3 linked regions of the Arabidopsis thaliana genome follow. The protein of the gene in region 2 interacts with the protein of the main gene of each other region in a pairwise test. Each region holds a gene or a part of one and is shown on either strand. Other genes may lie near its edges.

Region 1 (10,770 bases), on a different chromosome or scaffold from region 2:
AACATGTGAAGGGACGGATTTGAGCTGCTAGAGAAGCTATCGCCATTTTCGAATTGGCCATGAGTTCCGACGAAGCGGACCCGGTTCACTGTTGCTAGAGGATTAAGATCCGGACCGGGTTTAGTTTTTATTCGGCGCCTGGGTCCATTGTTAAAAGGAATACTAAAACTAATGGGCTTGTTAGTTAGTTTTTCGTCGTAAATGGGCTTTTGAAAAAAATAACGTTTGCGTTTGTATTAAAAATTTACAAAATTTAGTTATGTTAAATCATTTTTTTTTAATATGCATACACCAAAAATTTTACAAATGAGTTCATCTTTTTATGTTAGTTTGTTGCGAACCAAAATTCATAAACGGTAAATAAAAATCGTTTTGTTCATTGCAAATTTGGAACCATTCAAAGCATTTGTAAAAACTTAAAGACAAAGATGAACAGATGTTACATTTTGATGTTCGATTATCAACATATTTGGTTCTTATACTAAATATTTGAATAAATTTGGTACCCTAAACTTATAAATATAAATTTCTAATGATTAGTGAAGAATCGTAATATATGATTTGAATATTATTGATTATTGATTTTGAGATTGAATAGTGTTTTTAGGGATGAAATGTGATCATATTTTGATTTCAAAAACGACATAAATTCCTTATTTTTGTTGAGCGGTTTAGATTGAAGGAAATTAATTTTATTGAACGGTTTAAATTGAATCGAATCATATAAAATTTAGAAGATTGTTAAGACCAAATTACCCTTAATGATTTGGAATAGCAAAGAACAAAATCCAAAATTAAAATCAAAATTGAGGCCAAATTAGACAAAATTTCAATTTGTACTTCCCTTTTAATAATAAAGGGATAATTTTTAGGTGTAAAAACAAACCCAAAAACTAGCATTCGAAACAAATGCAATAGACATATGTCAAAGAAATTAGCTTATAATGTAGAGTAAGAAATGAGATTTGTGGTTATTATTTATTCACATAATTTTCACTGTATATGCATTCAAATTAATCAAGTCCCAAAGCAGAACTGAATACAAAAAAAAGAGAGATAAATTAAAATTTTAAAATCACGTTATCTTGAAGGGAATTACAAATCCCAAAGAACAAAGACAACAACAAAAAAAAAAAAGATTGAAACAATGGTGGAATAATAAACAATGACGACGAAAAGGAAGAACACGAAAAAGAAGAAGAAACGGAGAATTCAGTTTCAGCAGTGTCCACGAAAGAAACTCTACCTCGGACCACCTCCCATGACATTATCACGTCTAGATCCCATAGTCATCATAATCTTAAACTCTTCAAAATCAATCGTACCATCACCATCTTTATCAACACCACCAATCATCTTCCTACACTCCGCGATCGAACATTCATCACCAAGACTCCTCAAAACCTCATGCAACTCCTCAGCCGATATCGAACCATTCCCATCGATATCGTAAACCGAAAACGCATCTTTCAGATTCTCCAAAACATCATTTTGATCCATACCTTTCGTGTTCAGCTCCACAAACTCTTCAAAGTTTATGTAACCATCTCCTTTACGATCTATCTCAGTGATCGCTTTCTCTAGTTCTTCTTCTGGTACCTCATGACCTAGACTCGTCATTATTGCACCAAGTTCCTTTGACGAGATCTTACCATCTCCGTTCACGTCGAATTTCTTGAAAACTGCTTCGAGTTCTCTGATCTCTGTTTTGCCTGAACGTGCCTTTTGAAGGTAAGGTGAATCAGCTCCGATGCCGACATTGGAAGATGAACCACCGTTGGATCCTTGGTTTTTGTTGAACATATTGTTATTGTTCCAAAATCACACAAATGAGAAGAGAAAATCGGATTAAGAGAGATATTCGTATTTGTGTGTTTCCCAAAGGAAGCGGATGATTCTCTTGATCGCTAGCTAATTTTGGAAATTTTGTCAACTAAATCTGGAAGATTTCCTAAAAACTCTCTCAGTTTTATGTAAATCCGTAATTAAAATATGGATATGAATTAAATAAATATTTGACATTTTTGTGTCATGCGTAAGTACTGCTCTTCCAATATCGAGTAGCGACCGCTTCTCTCTAATAACCTTTACATGATAACAGATTTTGTATGATTATTTAGTTTCTGAATTGTTAAAACATCATAATCAGAACTTTATAATTATCATTCCAAAGTCAAAATGATTATTAATATTTAAACAAGCAATTGGGTGTATAAGGACGAAATAAATATACACTTGATGTTGATTACTTGCATTTAGTAGCGTAAATAATGATTTTGTAATAGTATAAAGCCAACTTCGTCCGAATGTCTCCCACTAATCTCGGCACAATCACGGTCTACGGATTATTTCGTTCTTTTGAACATAGCTATATATTACTTTAAAAATGTTTGGTTAATAGATTATACTCTGTACTTCAAAAAAGAAACTAGATACGCTATATGTACTTTATCACACATCCTACAATTATTTGAGTTGGTCGTACTTTTACTATATGTAGTTTTCTTTGATTTATTCGTATAAAGAACTTATAAAAATTTTGCACAAAAAAAAAAAGAACTTATAAAATAAAAGATGCTCAATTTTAATATTGGTTGTCTAGTCAAAGTTTTAAAATTTATTCATATTTTGACCATGTAAACAAATAAGCTTTGATTAGTGAGGTTATGTAAACAATATATACAGATTAATTTTGCCCCCAAAAAAAAAATATAGATCATATGAGAAAAAATGAATCACAAGAATTTACCGCATATATGGCAACAAAATTCATTAGAACTTCAGAGTTTTATTTATTTATTTGGAACTTCAGAGTAAGCAACTTTAGTTTAGGAATTCTTAGCAAAAAAACTTTAGTTTTTAGGAATAAATATATGGAAGTGAAGACACAAACATGCAAGAAAAGAAAACAACTTGTAATGAATTTGCAAATAATGGAGACATCAATGTCTTAAAGTTGATTCTGGTTAAGACATAATTTGATATGCATGATAAATAAGATGGCTTAAATCGGTTAGTATGTTCAGGTGTCCAAATATTAAATCTACTTTGGTCGACGTTTTGGCATGTCTGGCTCAGTTTCCGCGAGAAGACATACAAATGATTCAATCTTTCATGAACGAAACAAAATTTTTCCACCGAACATACTAATGTTTTTCACTTCCTAGATGAAAATAGTTAATGATTTAACTGGTGTGGGAGCTCGTATAATGGTATGAATGAAACCGTAATGTAATGAACAACCTCATTTAATATAACAACAAAGTTTTTCATCAATTTCTATCAACTGTCTCCAACTTATCTTCTGTATGTCTAACAATAGAAAAATAACAATAAAGATATAATCTCCTTAATCCTTTTAGAGTCTTAAGGTAAGATCAGGCTTTGAGCTATTATTATCTACACCTCCATTTGCCGCAACCGAGTTCAAATCAAGGCCTGACTCAGTACTAGCCACCACAACCACCGGAGCCTCAGCTTCCTCAACCACCTGACGGAAGCTGCCGGGCCAGAAGAAGTCGCTACCACCATCGTCATAGTCAAAGAACAACGGCACGGTGTTACCAAAATACCCTTGATGATGAAACCTAGAAACAAGAGGCTGAGGCTGAGATAAGGTGTGATGAAGTAAACCGGAGTGAGCTTGCATCCCAAGGGAAGAAGAAGTGTATGTGTAAGGCCTGTGATGGTGACCAAACATTCTTCCCATGTGCATTGCTCGTTTGGCCATTGTTCTTTCTCGCTTGTGTGCGTTCTGGTGACCTCCAAGAGCTTGAGAGCTATAGAACTTGCGTCTGCAGTAGTTGCAAGAGAAGACTCTTGGGTTTGCTTCACACTTTGTGCTCTTTGTGTCATCGTTGAAAGTATCGTTGAGCTTGAGATCGAGTGAAACATGGTTTGATTCTGGTTTGGACAGATCTTGATTTGACGAGGCTTCTCCTCCTCTGCTGGCTGGTGTTTCTCGTGAGGCATCATCAGATTCCGTCATTTATTCCAAGTTTTGGTCTTAACCTGAAATCATAATTAAGTCAAAGCAGAACAACAAAACTTGTCGAATCTATAAATCTAAGATATTGAGCAAAGAAGCAAGTAAAGACTTATACAGAGTTAACAACTTGGTTCAAGACCTAAAAACAAAGTTCTTGAATTCGGACAAGAATCAGCAAGTCCGTAGCATAAAGAAGACCAATCTAAATGAAGCTTTAAAGTTTTAATCCAAGGAAGTAGTAAGGATAATATAAACAAGAATCGAAGATCAGAGAGAGAGAGAGACAGAGAGAGATAAGAAGTTTGGAGGGTACTGTGCTTACGAGATCTGGGAAGAGACAGCCGACAGAAGCTGAAGTAGTTGACTTGGAAGCTATGAAGAGGAAGAAGAATCTAAATAAGAAAAGTGGTACTCTATGTGTTTACCAGAAATGGGTCAATTCACATGTAGAGAAAATAAAGACAGATAGAAGAGATAGGATTGGTGAAGAAGAGCATAAGAATAAGAGGTACTGAGAGAGAGAGAGAGAGAGAGAGAGAGAGAGAGTTATGTTTAAACAAATGTGGAAACGCAAATGTTGGAGAGATGGAGATGGTGTCTGGTGAAACACATGGGAGAATAAAAGTGTCTGCCAGTTAGACTTTTAGACCTCTGTTTTTTTCTCTATAGTTCAACGATTTTTTTAGGGGCACTTAGCCAAATAGTAGTATTATTTTTTCTAAATTAATCAAGTAAAGTACTCTGCTTTTTCTTAAATATATATAGAAATAGAACCAAGAAATATTTTGAATTACTTTATTACAGTGTTCGTAAAGATGTAGCCGTATAGGCGTTGGTATGCACGTCTTCGAAAGTAGTGTTTATTATACGTTCATTGTGATGTGCTATAGATAAACTTTGTCGCATCAATAAGTTTTGAAAACATTTCGAAGTTGTTGAATAGTCATGATTTGTTGAAAAGATTTGAATTAGATGTGTGAAAATTGAAATCTGTATATAAGAAAAAAGAAAGCAGATAAACAAATTGTATGTTTTATAGTTAGAAAAACAAACATAATATTGTTGAATTATTTATAGCACTCGTCAGAGTTCTTCATTTAATTTGGATATTTTCATGAACATTTAATAATTGAACTCGGCCACTTATATAGTAGGAAAAAACGAATAGAGAGCAACGAATTTGATAATGTTGCATGGAGCCCATACATTCATTCCCCCGGCTTTACCTTTACTTTTGGATGTGGACATTTCTTGCTGTGTTTTTTCTGATATATCACATGTGATTTTAAAGTCTCTGCTTTCTTTGTCTCATTTCTATCTAACTTTTCTTTTTTTTGCAAAGTTTTTGTTAAAAAAAACTTTTTTCCGATACTGTCTCTGTGTGGTATGTTACCAAATCACTCGTGCGGTGAAAAATAAGGTGTTATGTTTTTCTTGTTCTATGAAAACGTTGTTAGTAATCAATTTTTTTTATTACTAGTCGCTAAATTTTGTCATAATCACTAAACTTTGTTACCAAAACTACTAGAGTGAACCGAGTAACCAACGACTGTAAAACAAACCAAAGTTAATCGTTGCCATTAATTGCTAACAACTACAAAACGAAAAAGAAAAATATCGTTGGTCATTGTTGTTGTTGCTAGCAGCTATAAAACGTACGTGACCAATGATATTTTCCGTTGTTTTACCATCGGATGAGTCTTCATAGAGGGGTTTGTGTGTGTGGAACAATTCAAGCCAGGGCAAAATCAATCTTGGGATCGTGGCAAAAGACAAAGAGATAATGGTGTCTCCATATTTTATCTTTTTTTGTCTTTAATTCGTTGAGTGATTATGACATCTGCCCACTTTTGTTCCATTTCCATCCCAACTTGTCTGTGGGCCTTTGTGCCCACTTCAATTCATTAGCTTTCCCAATCACATTTCACAAATGATTGTTCCATCGTTTCTATGTTGCTGGTTGGTATTTTTAAGATTTTGTAAAAACTTTTTTCCTTGGGTAACAAGAAGTTGAACAATCAAATAATTTTAGTAAAAACATTAGTGGACAAATGCCACTATGAAAATGGAGCTTAAAATTGGTTGTATCCACACCATAAAGTAGTAGTGACTAGTGAGTTTCAACTGAGTCTTATACTGTTGATTCGTAGTTCAATGTGGTCAATTAATTATTTAGAGCAGTTTTCGGTAGAATTATGCAAAACTCATTACTGAAATCAGCATCCAAATAAGCTATTTTGAAATCTCATTACTTACCAAAATTCTTTTCATCAAATTCTCACCAAAATTTGCTAGACATTCTAAAATGACTTGATGCAATCATCAATGTTTTCTATAGTACAAACTAAGAAGTTGTTGCGCTACGAAGTAAAAGTTAGGTTATATATTTTGGTTATAGTTCGCTTATAATTTTGGACTTAGTTTTCCGAATATATTTATGTCTTTCGCGGGCTTAGTTTTTGAAAAAGTTTCGACTCTATTGGTCTTAATTGAGGGATAAAATTCTTTCTTGTACGATTTTAATTTTTGGTCGAATATCTCATATATACCGTATGAGGTCAAAAACTCAGCCCTCATGTGAGCAGCTAGCTACGTGATCAAGGAGCTGCGTAAAAAACACTTCCATGAGTTGCTTTTCTTGATGGAAACGATGCATTCAAGAGATGATTTGGTTGATATTCAAAGCTGGCTGGAATATGACCAAGTATATACAGTTGAGCCGGTTGGAAAATGTGGAGGTTTAGCTTTGCTTTGGAAGAGTAGTGTTCAGGTGGATCTGAAGTTTGTAGATAAGAACCTGATGGATGCTCAAGTACAGTTTGGAGCTGTTAATTTTTGTGTTTCTTGTGTTTATGGAGACCCAGATAGAAGTAAAAGAAGTCAGGCCTGGGAAAGAATTTCAAGGATTGGAGTGGGTAGAAGGGATAAATGGTGTATGTTTGGTGACTTCAATGACATTCTTCATAATGGTGAGAAAAATGGAGGTCCGAGAAGAAGTGATTTAGATTGTAAAGCCTTTAATGAGATGATTAAAGGTTGTGACCTTGTGGAAATGCCTGCTCATGGTAATGGTTTTACTTGGGCTGGAAGGAGAGGAGATCACTGGATTCAATGCAGATTAGATCGGGCTTTTGGTAACAAGGAGTGGTTCTGTTTCTTCCCGGTCTCTAATCAAACCTTTTTAGATTTTCGAGGTTCAGATCATAGACCGGTTTTGATAAAGCTGATGTCGTCTCAAGATTCTTATAGAGGGCAGTTTCGTTTTGATAAGAGGTTTCTGTTTAAAGAAGATGTTAAAGAAGCTATTATCAGAACTTGGAGTAGAGGCAAACACGGAACCAACATATCAGTGGCAGATAGATTGCGTGCTTGCAGAAAGTCCCTGAGTTCTTGGAAGAAACAAAATAACCTAAATTCCCTTGATAAAATCAATCAACTTGAGGCTGCTCTGGAAAAAGAACAGTCTTTGGTCTGGCCGATTTTTCAAAGAGTTTCTGTTTTAAAGAAGGACCTAGCAAAAGCCTATAGAGAAGAGGAGGCTTATTGGAAGCAAAAGAGTAGACAGAAATGGCTCAGAAGTGGGAATAGAAACTCTAAATATTTTCATGCTGCTGTGAAACAGAATAGGCAAAGGAAAAGAATTGAAAAGCTGAAAGATGTGAATGGTAACATGCAAACTTCAGAGGCAGCAAAAGGGGAAGTGGCTGCTGCTTATTTTGGGAATCTGTTTAAGTCCTCAAACCCTTCAGGCTTTACGGATTGGTTCTCAGGTTTGGTGCCGAGAGTATCTGAAGTTATGAATGAGAGTCTTGTTGGAGAAGTTAGTGCTCAGGAAATCAAAGAGGCTGTTTTCTCTATCAAGCCAGCTAGTGCCCCTGGTCCAGACGGTATGTCTGCTTTGTTTTTTCAACACTACTGGTCCACTGTTGGAAATCAGGTTACATCAGAGGTTAAAAAGTTTTTTGCTGATGGTATTATGCCTGCTGAGTGGAATTATACCCACCTTTGTTTAATACCAAAGACTCAACACCCAACAGAAATGGTGGACTTGCGGCCGATCAGTCTTTGTTCGGTCCTGTACAAAATAATCTCAAAGATTATGGCAAAGAGACTTCAACCATGGCTCCCTGAGATTGTTTCTGATACTCAATCTGCTTTTGTTTCTGAAAGATTGATTACTGATAATATTTTGGTGGCTCATGAGTTGGTTCACAGTTTGAAGGTTCACCCGCGTATCTCTTCAGAGTTTATGGCTGTAAAATCGGATATGTCTAAAGCATATGACCGTGTGGAGTGGAGCTATTTGAGATCCCTTTTGCTGTCTTTGGGTTTTCATCTGAAATGGGTTAACTGGATCATGGTTTGTGTTTCATCTGTCACTTACTCTGTTTTGATTAATGACTGTCCCTTTGGGTTGATTATCCTTCAAAGAGGTTTGAGACAGGGTGACCCATTATCTCCATTTCTCTTTGTTCTTTGCACTGAGGGTCTCACTCATTTGCTCAATAAGGCTCAATGGGAAGGAGCTCTGGAAGGAATTCAGTTTTCTGAGAATGGCCCTATGGTGCATCACTTGCTCTTTGCTGATGACAGTCTTTTCTTATGCAAAGCTTCAAGAGAGCAAAGTCTGGTCTTACAAAAGATTTTGAAGGTGTATGGTAATGCGACAGGTCAGACTATTAATTTGAACAAGTCTTCAATTACTTTTGGTGAAAAGGTAGATGAGCAATTGAAAGGTACTATCCGGACTTGTTTGGGAATTTTCACTGAGGGTGGGGCTGGGACCTATCTGGGGCTTCCAGAATGCTTTAGTGGGTCAAAGGTTGATATGTTGCATTACTTGAAGGATAGATTAAAAGAGAAACTGGATGTTTGGTTCACCAGATGCCTTTCACAGGGGGGTAAAGAGGTATTACTTAAATCTGTTGCTTTAGCGATGCCGGTTTTCGCTATGTCGTGTTTCAAGCTTCCCATTACTACTTGTGAAAATTTGGAGAGTGCAATGGCATCTTTTTGGTGGGATTCTTGTGATCATTCAAGGAAGATTCATTGGCAAAGTTGGGAAAGGCTGTGTTTACCAAAAGATAGTGGTGGTTTGGGGTTTCGTGATATCCAGTCTTTCAACCAGGCTCTTCTAGCGAAGCAAGCGTGGAGGCTGCTTCATTTCCCGGATTGCCTCCTTTCTAGGTTGTTGAAAAGTAGATATTTTGATGCTACTGATTTTCTGGATGCCGCTTTGAGTCAGAGACCTTCCTTTGGTTGGAGAAGCATTCTTTTTGGCAGAGAGCTTTTGTCTAAAGGTCTTCAAAAAAGGGTAGGTGATGGTGCCTCTTTGTTTGTATGGATAGATCCCTGGATAGATGATAATGGTTTTAGGGCCCCTTGGAGAAAAAACCTGATATATGATGTGACTTTAAAAGTTAAAGCCTTGTTAAACCCAAGAACGGGGTTTTGGGATGAAGAGGTTCTTCATGACTTATTCCTGCCAGAAGACATTCTCAGAATTAAAGCTATTAAACCAGTGATATCTCAAGCAGATTTTTTCGTTTGGAAGTTAAATAAAAGTGGAGATTTTTCTGTCAAGTCTGCCTATTGGTTAGCTTATCAAACAAAGAGCCAAAATCTGAGAAGCGAAGTCTCTATGCAGCCTTCTACTCTAGGGTTGAAAACTCAGGTGTGGAACCTTCAGACTGATCCAAAGATTAAGATTTTTCTTTGGAAGGTGCTTAGTGGTATTCTTCCGGTTGCCGAGAACTTGAATGGTAGAGGAATGTCGTTGATACCACATGTCAGGTCTGTGGTGAGCTTGGGGAATCGACGAATCATACCTTGTTTCTATGCCCACTCTCTAGACAAATTTGGGCTCTTTCTGATTATCCTTTTCCTCCTGATGGTTTTAGTAACGGCTCTATTTATTCCAACATCAATCATCTCTTGGAGAACAAAGATAATAAAGAATGGCCTATTAACCTCAGGAAAATTTTTCCATGGATTTTGTGGAGGATTTGGAAAAATAGGAACTCTTTCATCTTTGAGGGGATAAGCTACCCAGCTACTGATACAGTGATAAAGATTAGGGATGATGTGGTGGAATGGTTTGAAGCTCAATGCTTAGATGGTGAGGGTTCTGCCCTTAATCCTCCCCTGAGTAATGGTGTTCATTTTGTAGGCAGTGTATCGGAGAATTTATGGATTAAACCTCCAGCGAATTGGGTTAAATGTAACATTGGGGCTTCTTGGTAAAAAAGAAACAATTTTGCTGGAGGGGCTTGGGTTTTAAGAGATCAGGATGGTATAGTGTTGTTACACAGTAGACGTTCTTTTGCTCCTATCTCTAGCAAGGCTGATGCTTTGCTCAGATGTCTCCTATGGGCTATGGAGAGTATGGCCAGTCATAAAATTGATAATATTATCTTTGCCTTTCAAGATAAGTCTCTGATTGGTGCAGTGTTGAGACCAAGGGCGTGGCCTTCTTTTAAAGCTCAGAGTGTGGCTTTAAATAGATCATAGTTACCTTTTTTGGTGTGGAAGGTGGAATTGGAATTTTCTGCTGCAAACAGAGGAGCAAACCTCATCGCCCAAAGTGTTACGGAGGCGTCTCGGTCTCAATCCTATGTGGCTGTGGGGCATCCTTATTGGATGAATGGTGTGTTTGTTGAAGAAAGAGGTTTGTATTCTGTTTGATAGTGAGAAGTCGTTTTGGTGTTGATGCTCAGTGTTTGAGATCAATGGTTTGTATATGGAGGGTTTGGCTTATGTGGTGCTCGATGGTTCAGAGCTTA
Region 2 (11,337 bases):
GTCGTATACGCTGCCAAACTTAAATAATTGCTTTCTTCAATTAATATGGGAAATAAAAAATAAACAATATTCAGCATAAAACAACAAGAAACCTTCCCTTCGTCCAACGGAATTATTGATGTTCAATGCATTCCCCCACTATCTATACATATAATTTTTTTATTTTGTTGTGTGTTCTTTCGTCAACAAAACATAATAAGCAAAATTAAATAGAAGAAGAATTTCTTCTTTCTTAAAACTTTTAAATCAATGGAACTGAGTTACTGATGTATAAATATTGATGATGTCGTATCTAACTCCAAACCACAAATCTTAGGAATGTTTTGTTTGCCGTATAGTGTATAATTTTGTCGGTCGTTTGATTCGAGAATAATTTTATTAAATTTATTTATTTGTTATCATATTTAAGAAACAAGTCAAGTACTATTTGATATTTGATTTCAGAATCTGTAAATATGATTGACAGAAAGAAAGAAAAAGAATATGTACGTATTAATTAAACACTCAATTTTTGTAAGGCAGATACAATGAATTAACAAGGATGCGACAAAACAATTTTATTTTATTTTCAGAAATATGCAACAAACAACGATATTCATTTGACAATAGTTTAAACTACGAAAATTACGAGAGTTATTAAAATTATATATATACTTCGATTCAATCTTTTGTTTTGTTTTTTCAGTCTTTTGTTTTTGTTCATCCCTTCGATTCTATTTTTGTTGCCAAAGCATATACATATATGCATATTATATGATGAAGCATGTCTCTTTCGTAAATACATGCCTTTGTGTGGCTTTTTTTTTTGTTTCTTAAGAGAACAAATTTGTATCCCAACATTGCTTAAGAGACCAATTTATATAAGAACTTTTAATTTTTATGATGTTTTTTATATAAAAAAAAGATGTTAAAATTTCATTGTTGTTTCTTCGTTTTTTATATTTTCAAAATCTTTTGGTATATGTCTAAACTTGTTTGTTTTTATTCCTATAATTATTTAGATGTAGTCATATTATTTAATTATGTCGTCAAATTTGCATAAAAGATATCTTTCAGTAGACCACAACTAAAATTTACGAGATATTTGAATTAATATATGAGGTCAAAATTTGTTTGGATTAAAATAATTTGACAAAAAAATATTCTACAATTTTTTAACATAGATTATAAATTATCTTTTAAGTTAATTAATAAATAAAATTAATATGTCAGTTAAAATGTGCAGAGGTGTCACCGAAGGAGAACAATCATGAATCATTTAATATATAGGAAGATTATTAATTAACTGATGTCTTGCCCATTCCATATATTTAAATTAATATTAGTATAAAACAAGATTATCCCACCCACCTAATTTGATTATTTTGATTTTTTAAGTGTCCGATCAAATTTATTAGGTTTTGGAAATGAGATAGGCTAAGTAGCCGGTAGTTAAAAGGTTTGAGTGGGTGCCGTAGAGCCACTATGAGCTTAATAGATTGAAGGCACAGTAACATCATAAGCACATAATCATATAATTTGTGCATTAATTAAGACTTCATCTATAGTGCTTACTAATCTTTAATTTGTAATCTTAACTTTGTCGGTTTGGCTATGCAAAATACATCCCACCAAGAAAGAAGCATAAATAAGTAAAAACTACAATATAACAAAACTAAAATAGAAAGAAAGATTAATTATGGAGATAAGTACTAGTTGGTGGGAGACACTGTTCATTATCTGATGATGACCACGTAATTATTCAACTTTTCTTACTTAATTAATTAATCTCAAGGTCACCTCTCATGGACCGTTCGTTTTTCTTTTTTTATTTCCTCTCCATTACCGACAACTCTTTTAAGAAATATATAAGCAACCTATAAAGTCTTCTAAATTCATAGCTGTGATTGAATTCCACATACAGGGTAATATATAAGACATTATCAATTTTATTGTTCTTCAAAGAAGAAAGGCTAAATAAAAATAGAAGTGGCAGTAATCAAGTCTCGAGAATTTCCTTGGAGTTCTATGGTACGGCTAAAGTCATCAATATGGTGATAGGTTGGATAATTGAATATTTTTGTCTTGTTTTTTTTCATTTGACAAAGTAAATAATATGATAAATTAAAAGGGAGTGATAAAAAAATATGCAGAAATAGAAAATATAAGAACAGAACACGAAATTATTTGGGACCATATTCGCCCACCAATACCACGCTTTATTCAATATTATTTTTATATCACAATTATGCGTTCTGCATACAAAGTGATAAAATAAATTAACCTAAAGCTCGACCATGCACTTTTCTTTCTTTTAAAAATTCGTGTTTTTGCAAAGCCATTATAACGATCCTAGGCGGGATGATATTTGAAGATAGCATACAACAATCATAATGAAAAATGAAAATAATTTCTATATTATAAAACGATTAAAAACAATAATTCATTAAAATGTGATTAATAAGCCTAAAGTTGTGTTTCTGTTTAAATTACTCATCAATGCGTCGAAGCACGTAGCCCCCGTTAAATGCAAATGTGGCGTCCTTGTGTAATTAATAACTCCAACTATATGATGTGATTAAATATCTTTCTTTTTATTTCAAATATCAAATAAATAAAAAATAACATTAATATAAAGATTGCTAATAGTGTTCAATGCAAATTTCGATATTCAGTATATCGACCATACAAAGAATAATCAAGTACTAATATTTATATGGAAAAAGTAAAATAATTAAGAGTTTGTCATAATATATTGTTTTATATAATATCACGTTATATATATGAGATAATGCGTATAAGAAGAAAAAGAATATAGATGTGTACAGAATCCAATTATCCAAGTACAAATGTTTTAGAAATAACGTTTTGCAGCGTTGTTGTATAAGTACATAACGGATCATTTTGGCGGCGATTGAGAGATTCAAAAACGTCAAAGATGAAAAGATTCTCGTTTGTTTTTATTTCTTTATTAAATAATAACAATAGTGATTATATGTTAGCTTTATGATGTGCTTAGTTAATCCCAAAATCGGCTATGATGAGATTTAAGAAGCCCCAAATAAATAAAGTATAATGTTTGTGGCCCTTCTTCAATTAATATAAAGAAAACAATAGTGAACAAAAAAATGAAGCCGATGAAAAAGAAAAAGTATTCAACTGTTGCAAGATATAAATATTTGAATTTATCCGTTACAATATACGAGTATGGCAGATTGATTTATTTGTACAAGTGATCCAAGCATTTGATGTATAAGTAAGTAGTAAATCAACGAACAACAAATACAGTAGAGAGAGTATGAAAAAGAAATACGAGTCAACCAGCCAACAACTAATTTCAAATATAAAGTCGAATGTTTGATGGATCCAATAATGCGAGTTATAGAACATATAATAATGAAAGAACGTCCATATATTATTTATTAATCGAACTACTTTTTTTGTTGAATGTGAACGTACAATAATTGATTTCTACTATATGTATATGCAGCAAAATAATCGTGTTGTTTTTAAAATCAATGCATAAGTCATACAAATTTCAGTTTTGAAATTGTTAAGGTATTAATTTAATCACAATCACGAACTTAACTATATTTTTGCTGTGTAACTGATTAGTAAATAACCTGCTATATTTTAAATAGTACATATGCTTTTTTTTTTTTTTTTTTTTGGCAAAAAATTGTACATATGCTTATAATCTAAAACTTATAAAAGAGAAAAATACAAGTGGTTGACAAAATAAAAGAAGAGGAAGGAAATATCGGCACCGTCATGTGTATAATAGACCTGACCGCACACGTGTGGGTTTTTGTACTTGTCATAAGTTTTGCTTTTTTATTTTTGTTTGCTTAAAATGGTGTTTAAATAAAATAAAAGAAAGGAAGTCGAATCTGTAATATAAAAGTGAAGTCAGGGGCAAATGTAATGGATTTTGCTAAGATCTTCTTGTCTGTCTTCTTCAAATCCTTTTTTATTTTTCTTTACAAATGAAGGCAACTTGTGTGTTACACTGTTTGTTACATAAAAATAGTTTTTTGTCGCATAGCGACGACAATGAACATAATACGGACGAGAACCTCTGGCGGAAACCTCCACCACCATTCGGCCCAACTTTTCTATTGATAGATCTCTTCCTCTTCTTTTTTTTTTGTAACATTTTTCTTACAACAAATGATTTACCAAAACAAAAGATTCATTATTACAAATGATTCCTTATAAATTTCTACTATGTGTGTCACGGGAAACCCAAAGGGACAGTACATTTTATTTATTTTACTTTATGACTGACAGCTTTGTTTCTTCATATGTGTATCTTCAATTGTTCATTCTTCATAAATCACTTGATTCACAACAAATACTATCATGCATGATTATTATAGAGTATGCAGAAAGCTGACATTAGACTCAGAGTCTGAACACATTACCAGATTAATTTTGGTATCTCCTATATGGCTATATCTAGTATATACGACCTTCCTCTCATTAGTCTTAACATCTACTCCAACATCCATGTTGCATATATTAAGGTACTGGCTGATTCGAATAATAAACTTAAACATGATACTGACACAACTTCACACTTTGTTTTTACAATTAAATGGTTCCGTGAGATTGGGCCTTCTAGCTGCTCTGATATTAAATTTACGAGTCTATTCCAAAAAAAAAAAAGTGATGAGGGTCCTCAACATTTAGTTATCTGTCTTGCAAATTGGGCACGCCACCGAGACATGCAATCATCCCTGGGACTCTAACCTCATTACTTGCGGACCCTATTAGAAACGGCCCATATCTGGCCCGTATTATTAGGGACCGGCCTAATTATGCATGATATAGCCCATCGATATTTAACCACTCAAAATCCCCTCCCCTGCATCTATGGTTTGATCTGGTTTGGTTTGATTGCGATTAGAGTTATTATATACTTACTTGTAAACACCAAATCAGACTCATTTCACAGGATAAAAACACGAGTTCAATGGCTTCCCAGAAACCTTTCTCGACTGAAAAATGAGTCTGAGTTCAGAATCTGAGGTAAACGGTAACAAAACTTGATATATTGTTGTAACTTGGCGCTGTCAAAGTTAACAAAATTAAATCAAAAAGCAAATGGCCTTATAGCAATAACATTTTCCCTCTACAAGACCGCATAGAGCCACGACGAATGTTAGGTTATGGAAAAGACTGATGCTTTTGATATTTTCTGATTCAGATGGCAGTATTCTGCAAGTTTATGATATTATTGAGCCCTCCGAGTCACTCACTCTCATGACACAAAGAAAAAAGTTATCAACTCTCTCTCTATCTTTCACATATCTGCAGGCGAGAAAGGTTATGACTAGAAATACAAATACCCCCACCCAAAAAAAGAAAGAAAGAGAAGAAGCATCAGAGAACTAAAAGAATAATACAAAAGTAGATGATGCTGTGACAAAATCAATAAAAATGAAAAGAGATGGAGAAGGAGTGCTAGCTAGGTCTCCATTTGATCAAGAAGCATCTCCTGGTACCTGCACTCGCTGCTGCAAAAACCTTTCTCTCCCCTGCACCACAACCATTGTGATTAAGTTTAGTTTTGGAACCACTCTATGATCTGATTAAAGTCAAATACATAGATAAAAGATTGTGGAGGTACGAACCTGTATATGTAGATGTCCTGTTTCTGGTCAAGATTCTTCTTGCAGGTGAAGCAACGGCTTAGAAAACTCTCGGTGCTCTTGGTCTCCATGGCTGGTTGGGGTAAAGGAACAGAGCAAGGAGTAGCCTCCACGAAAACAGAGTTGTCGAAGATATGAGTGATGGTTGGGTTAGGACCGTGAGAGATGACGCGCGTGTAGTCCTCCGTCTGGTCAATCTCGCTCACTGCTAAGACCTTCGTTTGGACACAAGGACTAAGTTGACAAGGAGGATATCTGATGCCGGTTTTAGTTCCAAAATCAGCTGATGATGGGATCTGGACTCTGAGCTTTGACCCGAAAAGGACCATCTTGTTGACAGGTTTTCTAGAGTGGTCTCTGTTACTGTCTCCGTCTTTCACGAGATCGGCTAGGCCAAAGACGTCTGGAGAGTGAAAACGCTGGGGATTAGGGATAGTTGGCTCGAAATAGGAAACGGGTTTAGGGTTTTTGGAGGAGAAGATGGATGGGTTAGCTTCGAGTATAGACGTAGGGCTAACGAGTGAGAAATCAGAGTCAAAGGGAGTCATCATCATCTTAGAAGTGAAAAACCTAAACTTGGGAGAGCTAAAGAGAGATGGTGAGCAGTGGCAAGTGTTAGGCTTTGGAGGTGGAGGTTGATCAGCCATTAACAGAGATGTTTGTTTCTTAGTCGTCACGGCTGCTCTAGGTTTGTTTCTAAGCATAGTTAAAGACCGGTGAGGGTAAGGATCATAACTCAGTAGCTTCCATGGAGAGAGGAAAGCAATGAGTCTGCGTAAGAGAAAATATCTAAAATGAAAGAGAAGAAGAATAGAGAGAATTTGGTACAATTATTGAGAAACTCTGACTGCTTCTGGTATTAATGGGGTCTCTCACTCCTATGAAATGATGATCCTCTCCTCACTCGCAAAAATCAGATTAAAAGTTGCTTTCACTTATCTCTTTCCTCTCTTCTTTATTCCTTCCAAAGAGCGAGAGAGAGAGAGTGATCTCGAGAGACGGGACGTTGTAGATTTAACCAAGAAATGCATGCAACTTTACGGATTTACCCCTTACATTTATTAACACATAGAGATCTCAATTATTTTCGATCCATTATTCATATTAGGGACCGGATATGATTGAATGTGTATCGTACTCTCTTTTTTTTGTCGTCGTGTATTTTAACAACAACATACTACATTTTGGGTCGACGATAAAAGATTGGAAACATCTTTTGCAAGATTATCGAATTTGTACTCTCTCTTTATTTTTGTTGCATGTACAAACTTTTATTTAGTTTATTAGGTATACACTTGAACGGCGATACATTCATTATTTGTGCATTGATGTTTGGGCCTCTGAAACACAGGCTCTCCTTTTATTTTATACTACTATTTTTCATTTTTGTAAAAAAAACTGTGAGTTATTTATTTCTTACAATTTGTATCCATTATTATATAATACGGCATTTTGTCATTATTTCGTTTGTCTTTCTCAAATCATAATTCACTTTCATTTGGGTTTCTTGTTTTATTAATCAAAGAATCAGTGACGTTATTTAAAAATGTAGGAACAATAATCAGTGAATAATGTACATGTTAATCTATACTACTAAATATTTTATAAACAGTTTGTGGATAAAAAACAAATGTAATCAGAGGGGGGTCCACAGTTGCACCTGCTTTGCTTAATCCAATAATTAAGTTCTAGATAAGCGCCACGTGTGTTTGTCTACTAGTAAACGTTTGATTGAATGGTCTTGATGCGTTTTACTCCATTACAAGACAAATTATATAATAATAATCACTTATTTGACCCAAAAAGTTATATAACTCGTCGAACCACTTTTATTGTTGTTGATCTTGTTTTTCTCGAATCCCATCTAACTATCGCATTTTCATTGTTTAAGCTCGTCAACTTCTGATTCATACCAAGATTCAAGAAAAAACAAAAAGAGTTTCAAGTTGCAAGATTATGTATAATCATAACTTCACTTACAAATAATCAACGCAAAAGAAAACATAAATATTACTTGGTAGCCTAGTAGGGAAAGAAAAGTAACGTATTCGGATATAATACGATAGAGGAAGGAATTAGTGATAGACCCACGGTGGGGCTAAAAGGATGTGGACAGGAGTGTGTAGGTCCTCTCCTCCTCCTCCTCTACGGTTTTCGCTATTTCTATGACGTTGTGATCATATTGGCCTTTTCTTCTCCCCCTGTCGATTCAAGCTTTTATTTTCTATGTTTTGTTTAGCCAAGGAAATTTTGTGTATTTGTGTCTTGTTTTCATGCCTCAAGGTCTCTTCTTGCCTCAATTGGGTTTCTCTTTTTTTTTTTTTTTTTCTTTCGGATAAATCTAATTTTGTGAATATCCATCTGATTAATTTTCTTACAAATAAGAAGAAACAAATAGCGACTACTCATCCATATATGCCATTGAATGTGCTATTTCTTTTTAATGTAATGAGTGTGTCCATCGATTCCGTAATTGTGTTTGTAACCCATTCAGTCTAACAACTTTGATCCCTTAATCACTACGACTACTACCAGAAGCATACGTATATGTTTTGACTCCCAATCCATAGACGTGACTCTTGATAGATTGATTTCCTTCTAAACCACCTGACGTAGAGGTTATAAAATATAATTGGAGTGGAATCAGCACTAATCATTCATTTGATTCGATACTGAAATTTTTATATTTCTTTCCATTTCATGATTTCTTTGATGACTCGCCATCTTTAATCATGGTTATTATTAATTCGAAAGTGGCACCGATATATTGTGTTTATCAAGGATATAGTCATATCACCCTAATTACCAAAGATAAAGAAAGCAAATGAGCAAGATAATGAGAGGTCCATTTTCTTAAATCATTGCTTCTTTGTCAACATGTCTTAAATCCGAATCATTACTCTTATACACTACAAAATACTCCTTAGAGCTTGAATACCACAATTTTGTTTTTCTGTTCAATGACCAAATATCTCCATGTTCAAACCCATATTGCTCTTTCAGATTGTTTAAGGCCCAACACAAAATAACTTATGCAACCTGTCCAAACCCAACCTGATATCATTCCCACATATAGCCCAATCAATAGACCTATTTTTTTTTTTTTTTTTTCACCAGACTCATAAATGATATTTTCTCAAGACATAAATCTGCTATTCGTTTATAGACAATAACCAGGCTTTGATGACATTTTCTCAAGACATAGCTGCTATTCGTTTATTTTCATTTCTCAAAGAAGATTTAAAAACAATAATGCTCACAACAGTTAACAAACAGGAAGAAAATACAAAACAAAAAAGAACTGAAAGACGTCATAATGAAGCCACATTCCCATCCATCAGATTGTCAACTGCGTGCAGCCAAGGATCGTCCCACGACACCTTGTCATCGGCGCCACACTCCTCCAGGCCGGACGATCATTCCCAACTGTCAAAGCGTCGACATCTGACAAGGGCTTGATGTCCCAATTGAGCCTATCAGGTCCGATCACTCCTCCTACGATCAAAACCTCATCACTCAAACTCGTCATCGCCATTCCGATCCTCCGCTTAAACTCTGAGGCCGATGCAACCATCTTCCACGTGTCACCTTCTTGCTTGAACACCAGCCCATGGCTCATCACGTAAAGCACGTCCTCAACGACCACCATTGGACCTTGCGGCCAGCCATAGTCTTTGACATCCCACCCGAGTTTAACGCTCTCAAGAACCTGCACCGTGGACAAGCCTTTGTGCAAGACGTGGACTTTCCCGTTTACCACTAGACCCGAGCAGGCAGAGTTATGAGTCTGGTGGAGATCTGGGATGGATGTCCAGACGTCATTCTCAGGATCATACATCTCCGCTCCAGATATGGATTTCCTGCAAGTGGTGAATCCGCCAGCAACAACAATCTTCCCTTGAAGAACGCAGCAGGCGAACATAGCACGAGGCACGAGCATTGAAGCGCGAGGAGTCCACTGTCTCTGTACAAAGTCGTAAGACCAGACCTGGTCAGTAGCAAAGGTACCGTCGTGATCCCCGGTAACAGGGCTGACAGCGTCGCTGCCACCGCCTAAGACAAAGAGCATGCCGGCAGTAGTGACAGCACCGAAATGGGCAAGGTGGCGGATACGAGAAGGAAGGAGAGGGAGGGTGAGCCAGCGATCACAGTTGGGACTGTAGACTTGCCAGATGTTCTCAGGATCGAAAGCACAGACGCAGAGGAGATGCTCAGAAGATCGGAGCTCTTTACGGACTCTGAAGAGCTCATGACTGCGGATAGCAGCTCGCCAGGAGCGAGAGACGAGTTCTAAATTGGGATGAAGGTGTAAAGGCACATGAGCCAGGCATCTCAGAGCCACTGCTTCGGGGATTCCATCCAGCAGCCCAGACATTGTTTCTTGTCTGTAACACATTTATGAGATTGATCATCAGATACAAGCAATTGCAAATGCCCAATCTTTGAATACAAATATGCCAAAATTGACCAAAAAAGCTGAGAAGCGTGTAAAGTGAAGATTTTGGGTGAAGTAACTTATTTCACCGTAAGACCTAATAAATTCTTCTCTCGAAGCTGCATCACACAGCATTATAATCGATTTCAAAAGACACCGCCGCATCACACAGCAAATAATCGATGAAATTGGATTTAAAGAAACCCTAAAAACTTGAGGCGAGAGAGAGAATCAAGATTGGGCTCCGACGAAAGCATTTAATCGAATCCAATGCAAAGCAAAAGCGGAAACTGAGACACCGGCGACGATTACGAAAGAGAGACAAATCAAAGGGAACACAAAGAAGAAGAAGAAGTCGCACGCTAAGAATTAGATTAGATTAGCATAATAAACCAACAACAGATTTGGAGGTAATTTTACCTGAAGCGCGGCGGGAGATTGATGAACACGAAGGAAGGAGATTGTGATGATAGATATCTCTCGGGAGAAACAAGTTAGCTTGTGATTTTGCCGGACGACGACAATTGAATCAAATCAAATCAAATCGAGGTTAAGGAACAACAAGAGCAAGGAGAGAACAAGGTTTTAATAAAGAAGCTACGTCGTCGTTTTTACGTTTATGATATTACTAAACCGATTTTATAATCATCATTTATGATTCTCCCCCGTACCGGCCTTTTTATGTTTTTCTTTGGGTTGCTGCTTTCCACACAAAATATCAAAACGTTTTCTTTTCATCAACACATACACATGTGAGAGAAATTGACACCAAGTCTAGAAGAATACAAACTTATGTCGATTTGGATATTCTCTGATCCTAATATCTCTATTTTGGCAACTTCATCAAATTTTTAAACAAAAATGTTATTTTCATTCTTTTTTACCTCAAAATCGTATTTACATATATGCTATTATATTTAAAATCTTTGTGAGTTTTGATCGTAACATGAAAACGATTATAAAACGATTACAATCCGAAATCCCTCTCTCAAGGGATGGCGAATATAATGATTCCGAGCAAGAGACCGCGAGCCCCAAGCTTCTCTGAGAAGCATCCAAAGTACGTAGGTTCTTCGGATTGGTTGCCGGCAGAGAAAGACAAGGCTCAAGTTCAGCTCACTAACTTCCTTGAGCTATGTCGTTTCTGCAAGAAGAATCTACGTCATGACGAGGACGTTTTCATGTACGGGTCAGTTTTTTGCTTCTTTTCCTCTCTGCTTAGATATATCATTGTTAGGGATTCTTTGTGTGTATTGTTACTATGGTTTT
Region 3 (11,192 bases), on a different chromosome or scaffold from region 2:
AATTGCTCCGATCTGTAATTTTGTTTTTATTGTAAATCGGATTCGAACACACTAATTATATATCCTAATCTAAGCAATTGGATTATTTTTTTGGTAATTTAAGGTTTTTATTTATGATTGTCAACTAGTCCATACTTATAATTCAAAATGAAATTGAAATTATTTGATACCTGATTTTTAAACTTTAGATCACCATCTATTAGTTGATATTAATATGTTAAAAAGACAGAAATTTCGTAGGTTTCTTCTCACAAAAGTTTATACAATTATGGATGTATATGGAAAAATAATTATGTTCAAACACTTTTTAGAGGATCATTTAATTGCACCAATGAAACAGTTTTAAATTCTAATTTGACGAAAGGAGCGAGGGATCATGGGTCGCTTTAGCCTTTTCCTTATCGCCTCGATTTGGTGTTGAAATATTGTTGTCGTTTTGCTGATTTTGTTATCATGCAAGAGAGAGTTTTTGTTTAGGAGAGCGACACGTATCAACTGAATTTGACATCTGCCCTATCTTCTCTTCGCATGCTGCTCACGTAGCACCTTCTCTTATACGTATGCCGAACTATTCAATAATTAACAACTCAATCCGTTACGGACAAGAGGAAATGTATAATGTCTTTATGTATTTGTTAACAATCAAGCTCTTTAACGAAATAAACTTTTCTTTTCGACACAACAATACTTTCATATAACTTTATAAACCCCTCTCCCCTCCTGGCCTCCTAGTTCAACGGAAAACAAAACAAAAATAGTTAATTAGTTATGATACAAATTTTTGGTTAACCATGATGGTAGATTGGTAGGTATACACAATTTGAAAATAAAATATAATTATATGTTTTGCCAAAATATGAATAGATATATTCATTAGAAGAGCGAGAGATATACATATAAGAACTGAGAGTTATAAAATTTGATATCAACCAAAATTTGGTAATCACCTTTAGAAAGAACCGTTAAAATTAAGAACCCCATAGACCACACCACACTTTGCTTCAAGCTACTACTGCTTTACGTCTTCCAACAAAGCCATTCAAAGCTTTACGCTGCTTTGGGCCGAAGATAAGAGACTAAATATACTAATGCTTTAACCAATCCTTATTGACAAACATTAATGAAAGCTATCGAGAGATGATTCAATGACATTCTATGTCTTCTCTCTTCGTCTGTTTCTCTCCCTAAGCGTAAGAGTCTCAAAGGGGACATTAAAATGGTCATTCACAGACATACGTATCCTACTACATCATAGATCCTGAAATTTTCGCATATCAAAAGGTTTTAAAATTGGGGAGAAAGTTTGCCATGTTTGATAGACTTATCTTTGTACAAGACCTATGAACAATTAAATACAATAACAAATGTAGGACATCTTCATTTGTTTAGGCTAACTATAAAATTTGCTAATCAGTTTTGAATTCGTTTCTCCTTATCCCTTCTATTCTCTCTAGCACTCCCTTCACAGCAACATCAAAAGAATCTTCAAGAATCTCTCCATCCGGTTTGTTCCGGTTTGGTTTAGCATACACAATCTTCGGAATCAATCTTATTACGTTTTCTCTCATACCAACCACTCTCTCATTTGGTATTCCACGCAAAATCTCTTCGATTTTGTTCTTTCCACCGGTTCTCAGCTCCTTAACCGTTATATAAACAGAATATTTGCTACTATTCTTAGGTATGTGCCATAAATATTGCTTGTATGCACTTCCTTGGTTAAAGAAAACCGGTATACAACCAGCCAAGATTGAATCAAATACCGATTTTCTGGTCAACGAATCACCCGGCGGTTGTAAGCAGAAAGTCGAACTCTCGAAAAGTTTCATCAGACTGATCGGATCATCACAGCTATTTGCATTGACGTCACAGTCAAGAAACCTACACGTTTTAGATGAACTCTTGCATTGTTTTATAACTTCAGTGCGAACCACACCGTTCTGGTTTCTGCTTGGTCTTTGAGCTCCGGCAAATGAGAAGAGGACCGTCCGGTTTGTAAGCCTGATCTTTTCTTGCCACTGAAGGATCTCGGGGGTTGACGTAGGGTGAAAGTAAGTAGGATAAGGAATTGCGAACTCGTTGTGGCTCGTTAGACTTCGTTCAATGCTGAGGAAAGTGAGGTTTAGCGACTCAGATAAGAGCATGAAGTTGGTTCCCCATGCTGACCTACTGCCGGAGTTTCGCCGGAAATCTCGTGAAATCCGACCGGTTACAAGGAAATGGTTTTTACCTGACATATCTGCATTTAATTTCAATTAGAGATAAAAGAAACAAAATATTTAATTTAATTGGCTATTTTGTCAAAAAGAAAATTTGGCGGACGGACCAAAAATACACGTTAAAAAATTGAATGTTGTAAATTTATATCAAATTTAAATTTAAATTGGGTGATTTGCAAAATTTTGTCAGTTATTACGAGGAAATGGTAGAATATACCTATATTTTTATTAGTAATAACTGAACTTTATTTTGTAGTTATGTCAAAAAAAGTTATTTGACCGACATACTTTAAAAACCTTTAAAATTAGGATTTTAATGTTATACTAAAATTTCACTTCCAATATATTATAGGATGTCAATAAATAAGATAGCTACGTTTATAGAATATTTTGTGTTGTTTCATATATAATTTTTATTTTATTTGTGAAAGCTAAAGAGTACTTAAAAAGGTTTACATTTATTCGAGAATAAAAAGGTTTTCATTTAAAAGTCGTCGGTGGAAAAGTCATCGCTAGCTTTGAATAATTTCGAGTAAATATTGATTAAATCGAAACAGCAAGAAGTAATTGCAAACAATTGAAAATATTAGGGGTCCAAAACGAAATAATACTAAAAAGTAAAACACGCGTACCTTTCCACTGAGGTTGCTTCTTGAGCCATTTAACAAGTTCCTTCCCGGCGGCGTCTCTCGCAGCAACGTTACGCCGCCGTAAATGTCGCCGGAAATCGAGGCCAGCATAATAAGGTACGTAAATAGCTGAAGCCAGTGAAGAATTTCTCGTCAAGCACTCGTAACTCTTCATTTTCTCGTGAAAAATCACTTCGAGCATGAACTGATTAGTAGCGTACCAGCTCGGAGAGTAGTCAGAACTTTTACCGCCGATCAAAGGTCCGAATCCGGAGTTGTCGAGATACTTACACATACTGATTTTGTCCTTTGGTCTTGTAATAGACTTACAATCTTTGATGATTTCAAGATTGAATCGAGAAGGTAGATTGTGGATATATATGTAGCGTCCGAGACACGTATCGTCCTCAGAAGATTTGTGACTGCGTTGATGATCGGTTCCAGTGGTGGCTGTGGTTTTGGTGGTGGTGATGAGTATGATTTTGTCTTGGGAGAGACGAAGGAGAAGCAGAGAGATGGAGAGAAGAGAAAGGAAAAGTAAAAGAGTGGTTGGTTTTTTCTTCCATGGATGATTCTCGATTGAAACTGATGAACTGTTGTTGTTCTTCATGGTGTTCTTGATTTGATGATCCATGTCAAAGTTTAGAGAGAAAAATGTCAGAAAGTCACACGCAAATAATATATTATTAATAAATATTTTGGTGTGGTGTCTTACAGAGGAATTTTTTGATTGGGGAATAAAAGTCATGATGTTTCATAATCTCAATTTTATAATCATATACATACGTAGGGTGGTTAGAAACTTCTTCTTGTGATTTTTATTTCCAAAAATCAAGTCAGAGTAGTATGGCTCTCGAGTCTGATTCCTATTGCTCGGAGCTGAATTATATAATAGTATATATCAACCTTTCTAACTAAATTGTTTACTACATTGCTTTTCATGGTTACTTAATTTAATTCATGTGAATTAGTTAACCTTTTCTTATAGATATTATTTCTTATCTTATTACTAATTATAAATAAGATCCACAAAGAAATAATCCAAACTATTTTAAGTAATCTTGTTGTCTAGTTCCGTACGTTTTGTGTTTACCAAAACATACATTGCTTGCTTTGAGGGCATTATTAGAGGTTTTAAGTAAACTCAGACAAAGACGCTGCCGACAGACTCAACCGGCTTGATATCGACCTCTCGTAGCTCTAGTTTCATCCCTTTGCCTCCTCCATTCGCCAATGGATGGATCCCGAGCTCAGGTCCAGACATATACGCCCGTGAGTCCCTCTCCCCCTCTACCGATACCCCAAACCGCTTCTCTGCCTCTGCATCCATCATCAAATCCAAATCCGATCAACTACAAATGATATATACTAACTACAGTGTGCCATATCAATGCCATTGCTAGCTAAACCGGTCTAGGTTGTTTCTCTATTGATACCCTAAACCGCTTATCTGTCTCTGAATCCATACCCAAATCCAAGCATAACCTACCAATGATCTTTAGTCTTTACTACATTATGCCATAAATAAAAGGAGCATTAGCTAAACATGTCTAGACGCCGTTCTACATAAATATAAATTGAAAAGTCAACGAGCAAATAATTGACAATTAAACGATAATTGGTTAAGAGTTAAATATAGACAGCCTATAATTGTTTTATGACAAAAACGCTTAATTTCAATGCCTAAAAAATAATAGTCATAACTACCTAGACCGTTTTTTCAACATTAAACTAAACACTGTCTATTGTTTTTTCTAAGAAAATTAAAATGTAAAACCACAAGAAATCTCACATTAATATAAGACATGATATAACTAATATACGAATTTTCTTACGTACCCTGAATCATCTCGTGGAAAAGCTGGCCATCGCGTGTAACAGCCATCATGACATTAGGTAAACCAATGGGAAGCTCATGGCCCAAATCAACTTGCCAAAAATGGAAAACTTTCCCATAAGTCTTAGCGACTTTATCAAGATCTTTACGCTGAATGGCACCTGGAACACCAGGCATGAACAAGAACCCTCCTTTCACTTCCCACTCGTGCGAGTGCCAAAGCTTCTTCTCTTCGTCAGGCAAAGTCATGAACAGCTTCTCTGACACTATGTACTCCAATCCAATTAGACGAGCGTTTGCATCCGGACCGTCGTAGATCAAACACTGACGCATCTCTTCGTTCACGTGACTGCAGAAATGGTGAGCCTCTACTTGTCGTGCCATGTCGTCAGCATAGAAATGGAACCTGCCATCACAAGAAATTAAATAACATGCCTTCTCTGTAACATTGTAAATACGGTTAAACCAAATCGAAATAGAATTTATCACGAATAAAAAAATTAGACGAGATTGCTCATTGGTGCCTTGTTAGTTAAAATTGATTACACATAATTTTTTGTTGGCCCAAAATATATATATATATATATATATATATTCAAAACAAGTAGCTATATGTTTTTTACTTTCATAGTGAGAATCACAAATCTAAGAGGCTTAAAAAGAGGTGGAGTTGACAAAGATCGGGTTTTACGTACGCGCAGAGATGTTGGTGGATTTGGTTAACCGGTGCAAAACTTTGAACAGCGGAGGCTGCAGTGTCAATTATGGAGGTTCCGGTCTTTGTTGTCTCCCCTGGAACCGCCGGTCCAGACGTGGTCGACGAGTGAACTGCTTTCTCCATTTTCCTAATCAATGATTTGCTCTTCCTCTTCAAAAACTTTTAAACAAGCAAAAAACAGAGTAATTGCAAAGAGAATAGATCATGCATTCAACTATGTTGTTATGATCTAAAAAAGGAAAGATTGTATGCATGACATGTGACACGTGACAAGCCCAAAAGATTACACTTGGGTTTTTTAGCTTTTCTTTAGGGCATAAACAAGAATTAGTCAAATGTTTAAAAGTTTTGGGGAGCTGTTTTAGATAAGTGTATGTGGAAAAAATCGAAGTAAAGCTAAAAAGATTATAAACTGTTCCTTGAAACGCAGGCAGTATTTCAGAATTTTGAATTTCCAATGATATGCAAGTAACGCAAAGACATAAACACAAAGTTTAGAGTTTCAAAAGTCTCTGAAACTCATTTTTGGGTCGACAGATTTTGAGCCTCTTCTCCCTCCTCTGCCTCGGCCTCTCCCTCGTCCCCTTCCCCTTCCTCCACGCCTCACAAAGGACCTCCCATGTTTCACTTCTACAAGTGAGAGAAGCAACTCGTCACATAGAACACATCCTTGATGCAGAGTGGCTCCGTTCTCCAGAGGAGTAGTTTTCTTGTTGAAATCGATCTCTATGATGGCTGAATCACACTCGGGACAGCGGTTACTAGTGGTGGTGATGCGATGAGCACCTTCCGGAAGCAAAACGATACAACTACACAAGTTGCAGTTGAGTTTCCACTTGGGGAAGCTAACCGGGTCCAAGACGAGCGTGCCTTCACACTCTGGACAAGCGCAGACTCCTTGGTTTCTGACAGAGTGTTGGCATGTGGGATGAGGACAGAGAGAACATGGCATGCCTGCACCGGTTTTGGTTTTGGCAGGAGCATTGGGCGTCTTAGAGGCTCCAAAAAGTGTGTCTATGCCTTCAAATGGAGGAGAGTTGTAGCAGTATGGGCATAGTGGAAATGACTTCCCCTCAGGTCCTGGAACTGAATAGATCACGAGCTCAAAGTTGTCTAAAGGACATGTGAGTTCCTTGTATAGCTGTGAGAAAATCCGTTAGCAAAGGATAAGAAAAACTAGAGATTCACTGAGGTTTCAGCTCAAGGGTTAAGGTGACGAAAGGGTTTTACCTTGACTGTGCCCTTTTGAGGAAGATAATAAACTTCTTCGCATGTGCCGCAGAAGAGACGTGGTGGGACTGCTGTGATATGTTTCATGTAACGCAAGCATTTTCCACATTTGCTTAAAGCACGACCAGAATCAGCCAGAGGAGAGAACTGTGCTTCAAAGAGGGCATCCATGTGTTCGATCTGAAAGGACAATATACGAAAGATGTTAAGGAGGAACAGATTAAATCGAAGACAATATCAGTAAATGCCTCCGAAGAAAACATAATATCAGCCAGGTTTTCCCAACCTGTTGAACAAAATAACTGAATTTACGCCGGAATTGCTGAATCACATGCTGCACAACGTGTGAATGATCAGCTTGGCCCTTGGCAACAAGAGTGATTTGTTGCTCGATAAAACTCCGGATGTCTGGTAAGCAAAGGTCTGGATCAATACACTGATAGCCTCTTATTAGCGTGATTCCTAACGCCGTTGGAACCATTTTCCTCCCAGATTGGACCTGCAAAAGTGTGTAAGCACCAAACAAGAGTAATGAGATTTTTCAGAAAACAAAAAAGGATCTTCCTGAGAGAGTAACATTGTAACAGTGAAGAAAAGCACACCGCCTTTGGGTAGGTTAACCCACCTGAACATAATTACGTTCACCAATGTTGTTTATATGTACAGCTATTGATGCATCTGTGCCTATGCCATGCTTCTCCATGAGAGATATCAGCTCACTCTCAGTAAGGTAGTCCGGAGGCGCAGTGTTCCCCTGTAGATTTTACAACATTCAAATACAAACAGAAAAAATAAACTAAAAGTGGAAACATTATAGTAATTTGTGTCCTAGTACAAAGCAAAGAGAGCAGTAACAAAAACTGGAGAAGAATGTGACCTCGTAAAGCTCCACTCTTAAAACTTCAATCCTCTCTCCTTTGAGAAAAGAAGGGAGTTTTTTCTCATCTACTGCAGACCATGGCATTATAGCTGTAAACCCCTTTTCTGTCACACGCTGCCCCGTACAATGGAAAGTTTCTCCACCAATTGACAATTCCACTTTAGTCCTGAGATACCCATCCAAGAGAATACCACATTTAAAATGTGCAAAGAATAAGCTGTAACTGACATGGATTAAGCTACAAACAAGGCTTTATTTACCTTATGTATTTGCAGTTAGGTGAAACAGTGCCAAGAAAATGTTGACAGACATACTGATAGAGTCGCCAAGCATCTCCTCCGACCATGACCTCGGTTGCTGCTCTCATTGGGGTGATAGGAGGATGGTCTCCAGCGTCAGTTCCTGACTTTGGCATATGAAATCCGTCTGAGAGCAGTCTCTGTACGTAACCACCCCATACTGGATTACTAACTTGTGCTCTGAGTGTGTCTGTGAAGTCGAATGAAGAAGGATAGGCTGTGCTTTCTGTGCGGGGATAGCTAGCACAAAACAAAGGACTTTGAGTCAAAAGTTTCCGTCACTTTAAATGTTTAAATAAATTATACAGCGAAAATTGTGATGTATGTATGTTCTCGTCAGCGACGGTTTTTTCCATTTCCTATCTACCAGTTCTTAATTAAACAAACAAAACTACCATTCAATAACGAATTGGGATTTACCAAAATTAGCCAATTATACGCTGGTAAAGAGGAGTTAAATGACAAAAATAATAATCTGGAGAATGGAGCAATCGAACCTGATGAAACCTTGAGTATACAATCGCTCTGCAAGATGCATAGCCGTCTGAGGCCCAAACCCTAGAGCACTTGAAGCAACCTGTGTAACCACTAATGTTATGCTCGATCAGGAGAGTAATTCGCATAAAAGTAGCTTTTATTGACCTTTGAACTCGTGAACAAGACTAAGCAATGGCAAAGCTCTAATCCCAACATTAAAAACAGAATTAACAAAACAAGAAGAGAACGAAGATCCCAATGTTGTTGCCAACTCATCCCCAAAAACAATTATGAAGCTGATATAAACAAAATTTCTTTGGATGCAGAATATTTCAGTTTTTCAGTCAGTGTACTGCGATCATTAGTACATGATATGGTGTTTGCTTAAAGTATAATGTACAACCAGGCGAGTTCATTTTAAAGGAATGGTAATCACGACTCCTGACTTTTCTGACCTTTAGCAAATTCACTGTGTTAAGACCAGCTGGGCGACCTTTGACTTCCTGCTTTTCTGATACGTCCATTACTTTTGCAGTTCTTCCTTCCACGACCAACTTTTGGAACACAGTAGCAGCCTATAATTTGTTAAAGCATATATATATCAGCAACATAAGATTAGAAAGCAACAGTCAAGAATGTCAAAGAAATTCTAAGACAAGAATGAGACACTAACTTCCAGGTCGAACAATCTTCGTCTCTCCCACTCTAGTTGGAGCTCATAACCATCCTTTCTTATATAAGGTCGCAGAGCCCAAAACTTTTCTGGCTTGAAAGTATTAATATGCATGTAGCGTTGCACACAAAACCCAAGAGTAGGTGTCTGGCATGGCCCATACCTGAAATAAACATTCAAAAGGATCTTTAAGTAGTTAAAAGACTTAAACCAGATGGATACAGTGACTTGTATCATAAAAAAGATGGGAAAATCTAGTTGACAATATAGTTAACAGAAAAAACTACTATTGAATGTGAAATCTGACGGAATGGACAGAAAATCACGCACACTCTTTCGAGCATTCTGAGGAATACTTAGTACGGAAAACACAGATGATCGAATTTAAACCCCCAAGAGAACCAGAACCATGATTGAATCACGACAACTCATTTCTTGTCCTATCATGAGAAATAAAGAGGTGCTTCGACAAAGATAAACAACATACAAGCCTAAGTCTTACAAAGCTATGTCTGTACTCTTTTTTAGTATTTACATGAAATGCATTACTCTGACACTCAAAATGACAGGAGATAACCACAACAGAATTCCATAGCTGCATCTTATATGATCAATTGTACCAAATACCCCAAGGAAAAAAGAAAAAAAATGCATTTGGACTAAAGAAAGAAGTTGACCCTACTTTTCAGCGACTCTTTACACAGAACAAAAAGAGAGGAAAGGAAGGAGACAAGAGGAAACTGACGAGATAACTCTGCAGTCTAGATTCTGATATTTGCCTTGGAAATAACTTGTTTGAAATCGCGAGAATGCTACACCAACTTTTAGATCTATCTCTTGACGAGCATCTACTGCCAGTGCCTCATCTCTGTTTGGTTCAACAAGGTTGTCCATGGCCTTTGATATATCTTTCTCAGTCACAGAAGAAAACCGTGCCCGATAAACCTTTCTCTTACTATCTTTCATGTCAAAGCCAGTAGACTCGATAACTACAAAAATTTAATGGTCAACAAGTTAAAGCAACGGCCATGTGCATTACCAAATATAATCGGCATGCAAAAGGTACTTTTGCAGGAGAACAAAGATTAAGATATTGGTGGTTGCACCACATATGCAGGGGCTAACTGTATACTTAAACACCCAATCTACTACTACAACTTAAAGGGTCTACCATTGGATACTGGCATCATATACAGATTGATTTAGTAAAAACAGAGAAGACTTAGTCACTGAATCAAATTTACCAGCAGAGTGGATGCAATGGTTAGGCACAGTAATTTTGTATGTCTCAAGCGAAAAATCTGGTGAGAACAAAAATGAAAAACGGTAGCTAAAGACTTGCCTTCAAAACATATATTTTCTCCTTCACGATCGCAATCCAACCACAACACCATATAACTGCAACCACGAGCTTCATTACTTAAATGCCTACAAATATGAGCCTGAGATTTGAAGACTGTTAGAGAAAAGTGTAATACCGTAAATAAAAGAATACAAGAAACATATGACTACTAGAAAGATGCATCTCTACTACTAACAATACGTATAACCCAGCTAAAGCACTCCCCATGCACAAAGAAAAGAGATAAGATCATGAGAACTATTTACCTTTGGGTTTGATTCCTTTTTAATAATTGGAGCGTCGAAAAGATCTTGTGGATCAATAGTTGCCCAATTCTGATATTTTTCTGGGAAATCTACACTAGAATATGAGAGTGGTATTTAGAAAGACTGAGAAATCTGCTTTGAAATATTTGGAATGTCTGCAAGCAATGGTTTTCACAGCAGCTTTGTACACGAGATATAGTCCAAGAGATAATGAAAGATGAAAACCATTTTCCAAACTCGCGAGGGCAGCAAGAAAAAGAGAAACGTGAATATGCGTATTATACAGGGAGTGTGATTATGCAGCAGCAGATGACTCTTTGATTTGAATATGATTGATAGGCAAGAGAGAACCTGAAAACATGACCGATAACAGATGTAACTCTATAATGTGCTTTGAAGCCTCGAAACATGCCATCAAATTCATGCACCTCTGTACTGCCTCTCCTTGTAGACATCTGAATCAGAAGGAGAAAGATATCCAAGTTGGAACACACACAACTGATTCGGTTTTTAACCTCTAAAGGATACTGAAGTTTTAAAAGTGAAATCCAGTCAACAAAGCTACGTTAAAGAATCCATCAGAGCTGAGCATACTTCAATTGATTCTATCTCTTAATTCAAC

What was found.
Region 1: the proteins of AT3G63210 (region 2) and ZFP7 interact in a two-hybrid assay, tested with the Arabidopsis thaliana proteins (one large-scale study listed by BioGRID).
Region 3: the proteins of AT3G63210 (region 2) and AT2G31985 interact in a two-hybrid assay, tested with the Arabidopsis thaliana proteins (one large-scale study listed by BioGRID).

The regions. Positions count from the first base shown.
Region 1 is NC_003070.9:8,722,651-8,733,420, forward strand, and holds ZFP7 (zinc finger protein 7), read right to left. Parts: upstream 4,563-10,770; 5' UTR 4,311-4,562; intron 4,012-4,310; 5' UTR 3,989-4,011; coding exon 3,359-3,988; 3' UTR 3,139-3,358; downstream 1-3,138. Other genes in the region: AT1G24610 (Rubisco methyltransferase family protein), read right to left, coding at 1-61; AT1G24620 (EF hand calcium-binding protein family), read right to left, coding at 1,243-1,803. UniProt on the Arabidopsis thaliana protein: Acts as a negative regulator of abscisic acid (ABA) signaling during germination and early seedling development.
Region 2 is NC_003074.8:23,348,570-23,359,906, forward strand, and holds AT3G63210 (mediator of aba-regulated dormancy protein (DUF581)), read right to left. Parts: upstream 6,912-11,337; 5' UTR 6,338-6,911; coding exon 5,616-6,337; intron 5,536-5,615; coding exon of another isoform or gene 5,520-5,535; coding exon 5,450-5,519; coding exon of another isoform or gene 5,422-5,449; 3' UTR 4,945-5,421; downstream 1-4,944. Other genes in the region: AT3G63215 (uncharacterized protein), read left to right, coding at 5,422-5,535, 5,661-5,771; AT3G63220 (Galactose oxidase/kelch repeat superfamily protein), read right to left, coding at 8,971-10,029; AT3G63230 (senescence-associated-like protein (DUF581)), read left to right, coding at 11,064-11,257. UniProt on the Arabidopsis thaliana protein: May act as an adapter to facilitate the interaction of SnRK1 complex with effector proteins, conferring tissue- and stimulus-type specific differences in the SnRK1 regulation pathway. Involved in seed dormancy control.
Region 3 is NC_003071.7:13,610,094-13,621,285, forward strand, and holds AT2G31985 (lipoprotein (DUF1264)), read right to left. Parts: upstream 5,600-11,192; 5' UTR 5,527-5,599; coding exon 5,381-5,526; intron 5,092-5,380; coding exon 4,688-5,091; intron 4,169-4,687; coding exon 3,993-4,168; 3' UTR 3,835-3,992; downstream 1-3,834. Other genes in the region: AT2G31981 (uncharacterized protein), read left to right, coding at 1-1; AT2G31990 (Exostosin family protein), read right to left, coding at 1,407-2,239, 2,852-3,596; AT2G32000 (DNA topoisomerase, type IA, core), read right to left, coding at 5,906-6,544, 6,634-6,813, 6,920-7,132, 7,259-7,387, 7,511-7,679, 7,774-8,052, 8,310-8,389, 8,745-8,864 and 5 more.